Tribolium castaneum: one gene and its partners. The protein of the gene in region 2 purifies or fractionates together with the protein of the main gene of each other region. This does not show direct contact. Links are inferred from orthologs where the notes say so. Each region holds a gene or a part of one and is shown on either strand. Other genes may lie near its edges.

The links.
Region 1: the proteins of Fs(2)Ket (region 2) and Nup50 purify together in Homo sapiens (affinity purification with mass spectrometry; 4 studies listed by BioGRID and IntAct, counting the BioPlex papers as one, with this or other methods). This does not show direct contact. The link is inferred for Tribolium castaneum from reciprocal best matches to the Homo sapiens genes KPNB1 and NUP50.
Region 3: the proteins of Fs(2)Ket (region 2) and RanGAP purify together in Homo sapiens (affinity purification with mass spectrometry; 3 studies listed by BioGRID and IntAct, with this or other methods). This does not show direct contact. The link is inferred for Tribolium castaneum from reciprocal best matches to the Homo sapiens genes KPNB1 and RANGAP1.

What each region holds. Positions count from the first base shown.
Region 1 is NC_087402.1:5,415,391-5,418,658, forward strand, and holds Nup50 (nuclear pore complex protein Nup50), read right to left. Parts: upstream 1,969-3,268; 5' UTR 1,755-1,968; coding exon 1,596-1,754; intron 1,542-1,595; coding exon 540-1,541; 3' UTR 501-539; downstream 1-500. Other genes in the region: mip130 (protein lin-9 homolog), read left to right, coding at 1-241; zinc finger protein ztf-16, read right to left, coding at 2,848-3,268. UniProt on the Homo sapiens protein: Component of the nuclear pore complex that has a direct role in nuclear protein import. Actively displaces NLSs from importin-alpha, and facilitates disassembly of the importin-alpha:beta-cargo complex and importin recycling.
Region 2 is NC_087398.1:2,430,676-2,434,610, reverse strand, and holds the start of Fs(2)Ket (importin subunit beta-1), read left to right. Parts: upstream 1-1,135; 5' UTR 1,136-1,472; coding exon 1,473-1,527; intron 1,528-1,885; coding exon 1,886-2,127; intron 2,128-2,180; coding exon 2,181-2,824; intron 2,825-3,320; coding exon 3,321-3,935.
Region 3 is NC_087394.1:31,333,285-31,337,482, reverse strand, and holds the start of RanGAP (ran GTPase-activating protein 1), read right to left. Parts: upstream 2,801-4,198; 5' UTR 1,217-2,800; coding exon 1,105-1,216; intron 1,049-1,104; coding exon 861-1,048; intron 810-860; coding exon 495-809; intron 438-494; coding exon 1-437. UniProt on the Homo sapiens protein: GTPase activator for RAN. Converts cytoplasmic GTP-bound RAN to GDP-bound RAN, which is essential for RAN-mediated nuclear import and export. Mediates dissociation of cargo from nuclear export complexes containing XPO1, RAN and RANBP2 after nuclear export.

The DNA of each region.
Region 1 (3,268 bases), on a different chromosome or scaffold from region 2:
GGAACTCATCACCGATCTCACGGCTTTGATGTTGCAAGTAAAAAGTTTGGCCGATTCGGATCAAAACGCATACGAATTGCAAGTGCTCCAAGGCACGATGGAACAAATCAAGAGGAAGTTGACGCCAAGTAATCAACTAGTGTTCCAGAACTCCGTCGAAATTCACATGAAACACATTCAAGTCGGTCTCGGGCAAAATTTAGATAAAAAACTCGCCATAAATGGAATTTCCAAACTATGATACTTTTTTTCTTTAAAAATGCAGGTTTTTAAAGCAGAATGCTGTGCAATACTATAATGGCCACAATTTCGATTTACACGTCTCGTTTTATCTTACTGTTTACCGCGGGTTTTATTTATAATTACTGTATTTTTGTGGGTATTTCACAGAATGTGTATATTTTACTTGTGTAATTAATAAAAATGTATATATGAGGCACCATATGTAATTTTAGAACTGTTCAAATTTTTATCAAAATTGGTTTGAAAAAAAAAACGTCTACTTAGAAAAATATTTTATTGAGCTAATCACCCCTAGCCTATTTTTTGTGTTTCTGCAAAGTTTTCAACAACTCATCGGCATCTTCCGGACTTTTCACCCGCAATAAAATCGGCACGGGTGGAGGTTGCGTGTCTGGATTTGGAATACAAACTAACATAACATCCTTTTTCCCCATCCTTTGCATTGGGATACTTTCCGACAAAATGAAATTACAAATTAATTTTCCTAAATTCGTATCAGCGCGCACGATGAGTTGGACTTTCTCGCCGTTTGGGACTGGCTTGAGGTACAGAGTGCCCACGCCATGGTCTCCAAAAGTGCCATCCTTCTTCACAAAAACCTTGCATCTGATTGAATAAATGTGTCCCTCTTCTACCACTGGCGTAAACTCAACTTTGGGCGGCTCGTCTTCGTCTTCTTGCTCTTGGGGCTTTGGCTCATCTGCTAGTTTTATGACAGTGCTTGTGAATGAAAATTTGCCGCTGTCAGAGCCTGAATTACCAAACGAAAACGGTTGCGATTTAAAGGAGCTGTCGCCTCCTGATAGGGTAGCTGTGCTAGTGCTTGAAGTGAAACTAACTGTTGTGGTACTGGAGCCAAATGAAAATCCTGTGGATGCGGTAGAAGTGGCCCCAAATGAAAATTTAGGAGTTGTGGTTGTAGAGGTTGTACCAAAGGAAAATTGGGGCGCAGTTGTGGCACTAGTTGATGTTTCTGACGCTGCCTCGCCTTTCGCCTTTTCAAGTTCGTTGATATATTTATCGTAATCTTTGAAAATTGGTTGTAAGTTGATAAACGGGTTTGATGACACGTGTTTTTTTATCCATTCAGTGACACTTTCATTTAATCCTTTTAATTTGGCATAATATTCGTCTAATTTCTTGTCGGAAGTCTCTGCTTCTTTTTCCGTAGTTCCGTTGGTTTTACTAGTCTCGGTTTTATTTAAGTTTGACAAAAATCCAAACGTGTTGGATGCACTACTTGGCGTTTTACCAAACCCAGAAAAACCACCGAATGCGCTGGGTTTGCTATCGTCACTCTAAAAATTAAAATTGTTCGTAATCAAACAACACACATTAGAAACCGTACTGACTTGGACTGATGATATGGGGTTCCTCCTGCGGGCAACTTTTATAACTCTGTTCTTCAAAGCTTCATCTGAAGCTTTTGTAAACGTTCCAGCCGTCTCTGGTTCGTCCTCCCTATCCCAATTATCGTGATTTAAATCACTTGTTGCCGTTCTTTTAGCCATAAATGGAGAAACGAATTTGCGAGGTTAAGATACCGACACACTTCCAAACAATTTCACAAAACATAGACTATCACAGAATTGGCTTATTTAATGATTTGCATGTCGTGAGACGGAAAAATTCGTTTTAAGCACTTTTTTGGGTAAAATAATTTACAAAAATTGACAACCACTATGCGTGCCGGCTCGTATCAGGCAAACGCTGATTGGCGGGAATTTAATCACGTGACTACGAACTTAAAATTTGGCGGTATTTTTCCGGTGGAATTTTTTGCCAGTCGTAGCGGATACGAATCTCATTTTTTGACTTCTTTCCGGTGTTTGTTTTTAGACTGGTGTAATTGAAACGAAGCGAGACGAAAATTCCATAAAGTTTATTTAACCCTTTCACCAGAATTACAAGAATTTGTAATTTACATTTTGTGTATAAATAAAAAAAAAATATATCTATATTTTTGAATGAACTGAAGGAATGTAACATGTCGCCCTACTATCTACACTACGATAATTGCCTACGAAAATAAAATCCTTACTTCGTAAAAAAATTTAAATGAACTTAAACGTCCGAGTGCAATTTTGTTTAAGGCACTGCAAAATATATTGCACGAAATAAAATTACCATAAAATATAACAATAAATACTGTACAAACTATTTTGTTTCTGTCTCATGGAATCAACAATACACTAAAATGGAATGTATATATAAAATGTAAAACTTAATTCTAATTTATGTAACAATGTAATGAAGCTCCAACTATAGAGACTAAGCACTTGCTTTACAATATATTTTGGAAAATATCATGCTTGTAAATATACCTCTCTTCTTACTAATGGACGGATATGAGTTTAGAGCAAATCTTCAGGTAATTTTGCTTATAGGCAACCGGCAGGCACTTGGACAATTTCCAAAAGGGAATGAAACTAAACGGAATGCTCGTAAATGTACCCATAAAACCCTGAACTTGTTCAAAAACAAGAAATGCATCAACAATTTCTACAACAAATTATCACATACTCAATTTTTCCGTGTAAAACTGTATGAAACTTGAACTAATCTAAACTTTACAAAGTATGTCATAGTTTAAGTAAATCGAGCCTACTGATGACTTTTACTCAACAAATGCGAATTAAACTCGTAAACATTGCAGCACTGCTCTCCGCAGATATTGCATTTCCAAGGATTCGCGTCGGAGTGACACCCTTTATGCAAAAAGTACAAAGTCTGGTCTGGAAATCCGATCCCGCAGAAAATACATTGTAAACTAGACAAAGACCTTTTGCCCATCGCCCGCCACAGGGAGGAGTCCGACGGTTGTTCGGGCCCCGTCGAGGTGATAGCCCCATTGGTGGTGGTCGCCGTGTCACTGGGCGAAGTCTCAGGATTCTGGTTGGGACTCGCGGTGGAGCGCCCCCTTGGCGAGGAGTTCATCCGCGAGACGATCTTCCTCTTTAAATCGTCACGAAGTAAGCTCTTCAACGGAGACACTTTGATTAACGAGCTAAGGCTACTTGAGGTC
Region 2 (3,935 bases):
CGACTGTCCTCATAAGTTGTTTGTTTGTCCAAAGAAAAACTTTATACTCTTATTTATTGGATATTAAAGGCGAATGTTATGACTTTTAAATTGGTTTTATTAAGGCAATTAAAGGTGGTGGACACTGTAAAACCCATATTTACGAAGTTACTTACACTCAAGCCACATATTTCTACAGATTTTATTAATGACCACAATTAATTACTCCCTAAAGCCTTCACCTTTTCTTCGATCAGGTGGTTTCTTTTTTAATGGAAATGCATGTGTCTACGCAACATGTTAAATATAAATTCACAGTATGCAAGATACCATCAGGTTTGTGCAGCTAAGTGCGTTCAAAATAACACAAAGTGCTCGCAAAACACCCAAGAAACAATGCATTACACTCTGCTCTAAACTTGTTTTGCTCACCAGGAAGAAAGTACTCGACTTTACCTAATTTTAAAATAAACCCACTTTTAACATCCCTATAGCAATAAATGAAACATCTTAATAATAATAGTAATAACAATAATAATAATAATAATAATAATAATAATAATAATAATAATAATAATAATAATAATAATAATAATAATAATAATAATAATAATAATAATAATAATAATAATAATAATAATAATAATAATAATAATAATAATAATAATAATAATAATAATAATAATAATAATAATAATAATAATAATAATAATTTGAATTGAATTTTTTTTATGACTAAAATGAATAGTAATCAAACGTTGAGCAGGAGAAGTAATTTAGGTCAAAAAAAAATGAGAAAATAATTATTTATATTGTTATTTTAGTCAATTAAATATTGATAGGCGTGGCCAATTATGTTTAAAATGAATCCTATTTTTATACAGAATCGTTAAAGGGATATATACAGTCAAAAGTCTGAAAAATAGTTCATTAAATTGTTTTTCAAGTTATATTTACAATTGGTTTATCATAAAAACCGTCAGCTGCAGTAAAATGGGACTAAAAACAATGTAATATCCTATATTATATTTTTGAATAAGCACTATAAAGTTGGCTTAGAAACATAAATGGTTGCGACATCTATCAAAAAAAGCAGTAATCATTGTAAACTGTACAGAAACCTATTAAGAAAATGCGCGCAAAGCAAATCGGTTTAACGGTCATCTTGTCTCCGCACTGAAATACAGTATAAGTGTTTATTATCGTTAGTGACAAATCACAAGTTAATTTACAACGTAAAGTGCTTCAAGTAAATTGTTACAACTGTGTGAACCGCTGTTTGATATAATTTGGGTAAACAACGATTGAAATTGGCCGTAGTTTTGAAATAACGATAAGGAACCGTCATTCATACGTTAGCAGCAGCGTATGAATATAGCCTTCCTGCCAGTTTAATCATCCTACATGTCCATGTGGTGTTAGCCGGCTGATTGCAAGAACCAATTAATTAAAACCGTTAAGTTTACAATATTAGTCAGTAATTCTACAATAAAATGCATCAAGAAACACTCCGACTTATACAAGTGCTAGAAAAAACTGTTTCTCCCGGTAAGTACAAAACTTGACTATTTGACAAGTTGCCATCATTTTTTAACCACTGCCATATAATCGCATGCCTAATCATCAAAAAGCACGTTCCTCTCAACCCCGCCTCATTTCCGCCTTTTCGATAAATTTCAACCCGCTTTGACATTTTACGAAATTCCCAAGCAACTCCCCGTCAGGGCTTAAACCAAAAACCTGACGATGTCGCCGCACCGGCGTCGAAACGTCGGTCGCTCTTTTTCCCAAAATGCAACTCTTTTCAAGCCCTCAAGCTCGCAAAGTTTCATCATAACCTCACACTTTTCGAGGTCATTATCCTCAGTGATTTTCCGTTAATCACAGCCTATTTGACGATTTCCAGATAAAAATGAACTGGAGCAAGCATCAACATTTCTTGAGCAAGCTGCCGCCGCTAATATCTTAGAATTTATCAAGACTCTATCCGATATCTTGCGACATGGGGGCAACAGTCCCGTTGCTCGCATGGCCGCCGGTCTCCAACTGAAAAACCAACTCACGTCCAAAGATCCCAACATCAAACAGTTATGTCAACAGAGATGGCTGTCGGCACCGGAGGAGATACGCAACTACGTCAAGAAAAACGTAATTGTTTATATACCGGTTTTGTTAGTGTTTTTTTCGACCGTTTTCTCCAGGTCGTAGGGGCCCTGGGCACGGAGACCAACCGGCCTTCGTCAGCGGCCCAATGCGTGGCTTACATCGCTGTCACCGAATTACCGCACCACCAATGGCCCGACCTGATCGTCACGCTAGTGAACAACGTAGTCCAACCAAACTCCACCGAAATGCAGAAAGAAGCAACGCTGGAGACCATCGGCTACATCTGCCAGGAAATCGACTCAGACGTGCTCGTTACCCAATCCAACGACATCCTCACGGCGATCATCCACGGAATGCGCTCCACAGAGCCCAGCAATCATGTCAGATTTGCGGCAACGCAGGCGTTGTTAAATTCGCTCGAATTCACTAAAGCTAACTTCGAAAAGGCAACTGAAAGGAATTTCATCATGGAGGTGGTGTGCGAAGCCACTCAGTCGCCAGATACGCAAATTAAAGTTGCAGCGTTGCAATGTTTGGTTAAAATTATGTCTTTGTATTATCAATATATGGAGCCCTACATGGGCCAAGCTCTCTTTCCCATTACTTTAGAAGCGATGAAATCTGACAATGATGCCGTGGCGCTTCAAGGTATTGAATTTTGGTCGAATGTTAGCGACGAAGAAGTGGATTTGTCCATCGAAGCCAATGAGGCAGCGGATGCAGGCCGGCCCCCAGCCAGGTAAGAGCATCATTTCTGGAATGACTATTAGTAAAAACTGTAATTCCCTGTTTATGCGTTTAAGTGAAATCCAGTCTGTGAGCGATATGATAAATTCGTAACTTAATCAGCTAATCGTTAAATATCATTAGATAACTAAGTTTTTCTGTTTTTACTTCGGTCAGAGAATTCCCACAATAAATGTTAACAAGAATAAATAATCTTTTTACGGCTTTTGCCATGCTATTAAAAGAATCAGATTAGTAGTAGTTTCATAAACCTAGTCAGATTTTTATAAACACAAATTAAACTAACGATGCTTTTGTGTTGCTAACTTTAGTTTGGTATTTTTATGATCGATAAAAGCCTTGTTTTGATTTGATTTTCACAATTTGCGTTTGAAACATCAAAAAATAGATAAGTGTTAAGTCAACAAGCCTATTATTAGAACGGAGATTATTCATTGTCCTGTTACGCTGACTCAACCGTCAGTCAGTTAAGCGAATATTTCTTCCAGAGTATCACGCCACTACGCCAAAGGTGCGCTCCAATTTATCGTACCCATCCTTCTGCAAAAACTAACGAAGCAAGAAGAGCTCGATGACGAAGACGACTGGAACCCGAGCAAAGCTGCCGGCGTTTGTTTAATGCTTTTGGCCACATGCTGCGAAAACGAAGTTGTTCCACACGTTTTACCTTTTATCAAAGAAAACATAAAGTCTGAGAATTGGCGATTTAGAGATGCGTCGCTTATGGCTTTCGGCTCGATTCTTGGCGGGTTAGATAACACCACTCTTAAACCATTGGTGGAGCAAGCCATGCCAACCTTGATAGAGCTGATGTATGATAGTAGCGTTATCGTGAGAGATACTGCGGCTTGGACTTTCGGCCGAATTTGCGAAATTATTCCCGAAGCGGCCATTAACGAGAATTATCTTAAGCCCTTGCTGGAAAGTTTGATTAATGGACTTAAGGCTGAACCGCGAGTTGCGGCGAATGTCTGTTGGGCGTTTTCTGGATTGGCTGAAGCCGCCTACGATGCAGCTGAAACTAACGAAGACACGGGAACTCCCGATACGTACATGTTGTCACAATACTTTGAGTATATAATTCAGCGGCTTTTGGAGACTAC
Region 3 (4,198 bases), on a different chromosome or scaffold from region 2:
AATTTGCCTATTTGTTTAATTTCGGTTTCAATTTGTTTACGACCGTCTTCCCCAAACTGATTTCCGTTCAAATTTAACACTTTCAATTTACTTTTATTCGCCATGGCTTTAACCAACTGAAGCCCCCCTTTCAGGCGAATTTCGTTGTGCCCAAGTGTTAACTCCTCCAAGTTGGCATGACCAGTTTTTAAAACATTTGCTAGAGAAATAGCTCCGGCAGTTTTCAGCAAACAGTCGCCAAAATTGATTTCTTTCAACTGTTGCAAGTGTGGGAGGGCTTTAGCAATGGCCTCAGCCCCCTTTTCACCAATCGTATTGTCATTCAAGTTTAAAATTTGCAGATTTTTATTTTGGGTAAAAGCCTCAGATAGTGCCGATATGCCAACGTGGTAAATACCATTCTGGGGCATTGCTATTTCTTCAAGTGTACCAATCATCTGTGAAGAAATATTGTTTTGTCAAGTTATAGGTCACTGATTGGAAATTTATTTTACCTTGAAAACCTCAGCAAGTGCTTTTGCACCTTCATTCTCAAGTCGGTTTCTTCCAGCGATAAAAACCTTGAGCTGGAGTGGTTTTCCCGTTTCTTTACTAGAGTTATAGCAGTCTGTTAGGGCTGACGCTAACAATTTACCACCAGTGATGCCTAGGCCGTTATTATTTAACCTGAGTTCTTCTAAAGCATAGCATGAGGAGCTTCTCAAAAGAGCAGCAAGTCCTTCGACACCAATTGGGCCGAAAGCATTGTCACTCATGTCCAGTTCAGTCAAGCGGGCACCTGCCGTTACTAAACCACTACCAAGAAATTCCTGAAATTTTGACTCAATTTTTTTGTTTGTATATAATTGGTTAGATTATACCAAAGCTTTCGGTATTTCTGTTTTCATTCTGCCCGTAAACATGTCCTTCCATAGCGCTCTCTTAAACTCGGGATGTTTTTCCAATGCTTTGGCAATGCCTTTGGACGCTTCAACTCCCAAAGTATTGCCTTCCAAGTTTAAAAATTGGAGGTTGGTGCATTTTTCTATCTCTTCAATTACGCTTTTTGCTGCGAGTTTGATAAATTTATGTCGATTGGTGCAATGGGGTTTGATATAACCTTACCGTCATCAACAGTATCAAGTTTTAAAGACTGGCCGGCAAAGGTGACCCCAGTGGGGCTCACACGAGTGCCTTGTAAGGCACTTGTAAGGTCGTCTACATTGGTATTTGTCATTTTTATTATTTACACAATACTACAACTATTATTTAATAAATTACAATCGCTCACGCGTGTCAAGCCGTTGGAATTTTTTAAAGTTGGTTCAGATATTCAGAAATTCTCGATTTTGACCTTAAAGTGTTTGACGTTAGGTGTCATTTTTCTGGACTGTCAGTTTAGGCATGTAAAATAGAAAAGTTCCTAAAAGAGCTTGCTTCCTCGATATACGAGGAAGGATTAAAAAATTTTACCACAATGCAGTAAGCATCAAACCTATCTTATCTTATTTTTAACAACGTTAAAGATACCTCTTCTCAGATTGTTAAGAATTATAAAAAAATATTGTGGAATCTTCTTACAAAGAGCGAGTCATTATTGAGCGAAGATAATAATGAAAAGTGTCCAAATACTAAAAAAACATGATAGTAATAATTTTCCTCATATGTGAGATTACAAAGAATAGTAATTATAGTAGTCGTCGTCTGCGAATAAAAGAAATATTGGACAATAAAGAATAAATCTGGCATTAAAATTGCTGTATTATTACTTTGAGTTTTAACACTATTTCAGCTTTATTGGTCGTTTTATGGGAGAAAACCTAACACATACTGGATAATGAAGAAGTATTTCTGAGCGTATTACATGTTACTGAACTATTTTCAATAGAAATAGCGTTAAAATTAGTAAAAAAATTGTTGTTAACACTGTTCTTTTACCAAACAATGCGTAAGTTACGAGCTGATATGCGTCAACCATTTTGCGAATTTTTTTTTTTGGTTGGTAAAAGTTGTCAATGTAGTGTCCGGATTCAGGAATAACACAAATTGTGGTGCTTTTTTAAATAATCTATTTAATTATGTTGTTGTTTTATACGTTTGGAGAAAAAATAGTGTATATTACTCGGACTGCAGTCGGCAGTCAAGCAACTAGCCTTGGCACATATGTATAACGCTTCGCTTATACTCTTAATATCCTAATAATACAATTATATACGACTATCTTCAATAAAAAATGTTTCCGTTTCAATCTCAATATAGAAAACCAATGGCAAAGTCCAGATAGACAACAAACTTTAATTTCGACGATTTCGCGAGCTTTAGAAGTTCCAACGTGTCTTTTAAAAATATTTTTTGGACATATTGAGGTCTGCTTTAGTACGGTCTGGTAGAAAAGTAAAATAGGTTCACTTTCTTAAGAACCATTTGGGTACAAATGAGTGACCTGTTACCAAGACAACTCAATCCCAAGAGCACGCTATTTTCACCAGGATGGACAGTGAGAAACTGTACAGCTTTTACATACTGTGCAGGTATATTTTTTATTGATCTTTCAGCGTCAAAAGATTTCATTTGTATTTTTTTATATTTCAATTTATTTCTAGTTTTTAATAATAGTTAGTCATCATATTTCAACAGTGAAATGCTGAATCAGAATGAGTGGAAGAACTGAAAAATAACTCATTCCACCTTCGTTTTCACCAATAATTTTTATTTTTATGCCGTGTTATTTGTATCACAAACAATTAATTATAGTAATTAGTGCAAAATGTCTATAAATCCATTGTACATGACTTTGTATCAAACATCCAAGTCATTAAAACTTGCCAAAAACTTGTGGAAACAAGTATTGATGTGTCTAGACCTATCTAAACTTTTTATATGATAAATATTTGAAAGTCATATCTTATGATAGGTAAGTGTGTGCACGAATTACAGCTATCAATTTGTATTTATACTTTAAAACTTTTATAAGCCAGAGTCATAGTTCAAACTTCAGTAGCGTGTTATCCTCCCAAGCGGTGCGGTCTCATCGTTTGTAAACAATTTAAATACACAACCGGCATTTAACGCGCAAAACATGGGCCTAATCATCAAACTAGTTCTAGTGATTATCACAGTCCTAACAGCTTACCAAATCAGTAAACTGTTCGAAACCCCACCTGTTCCAAAATTAGAAAACACTTGGTGGGGCCCCCGCGACCCCTCGAAAGAAGACACCGCGATCAAGCCTTTCAAAATCAATGTCTCTGACGAGGTAAACAAAAACACCAAACCAATTAGCGTACAAATAAACAGACAACAAAAATATCACTCAATCAAGTTCTAGGTCACCGTTTATTGTCGCGAACGTCGATTGCATAATCTCATGTTTTAGGTTCTCAAGGACCTCCAGCACCGCCTGGCCAACGCGCGCCCCTTGGTGCCCCCACTCGAGGGGGCCCAGCAGCACTACGGCATGAACACCAAGCTCCTGGGCAAAATCATCGACCACTGGAGGACCAAATACAACTGGAGGGAACGCGAGAAGTTCCTCAACCAGTATCCCCAGTTCACGGTCAGCGTCCAAGGACTCCGACTACACTACATCCACGTCAAACCCCCAAGTCCTGGAAACCTCAAAGTCCTCCCGCTCCTCCTCCTCCATGGCTGGCCCGGATCAGTCCGGGAGTTCTACGACATTATCCCCCTCCTAACTAAACCGGCCGAAGGCCGCAACTTCGTCTTCGAAGTCATTGTCCCGTCACTTCCCGGTTACGGATTCTCGGAGGCGGCAGTTCGCCCCGGTCTGGGTCCGATTGAAATGTCCGTGGTGTTCAAAAACTTCATGAAACGGATCGGTTTTGACAAATATTACATCCAAGGGGGCGACTGGGGGGCGCTGATTGTCCAGAACATGGCCACTTTGTTCCCGGAACATGTGCTGGGGGTTCACTCCAACATGTGTTTCGTTAACACCCCGTTATCCAACTTGAAACTTCTTTTGGGCAGTATTTACCCTCCCCTAATCGTTTCAAAGGAGATGGAATCGAAAATATATCCGCTCTCGGCTTTCTACTCAAATATTTTGCTGGAAATGGGGTACATGCACTTGCAAGCCACCAAGCCCGACACCGTGGGGGTGGCTCTGAACGATTCTCCGGTGGGCTTGGCGGCCTATATTTTGGAGAAGTTCACCACTTGGACCAACGCGGACTGGAAGGATTTGGAAGACGGGGGT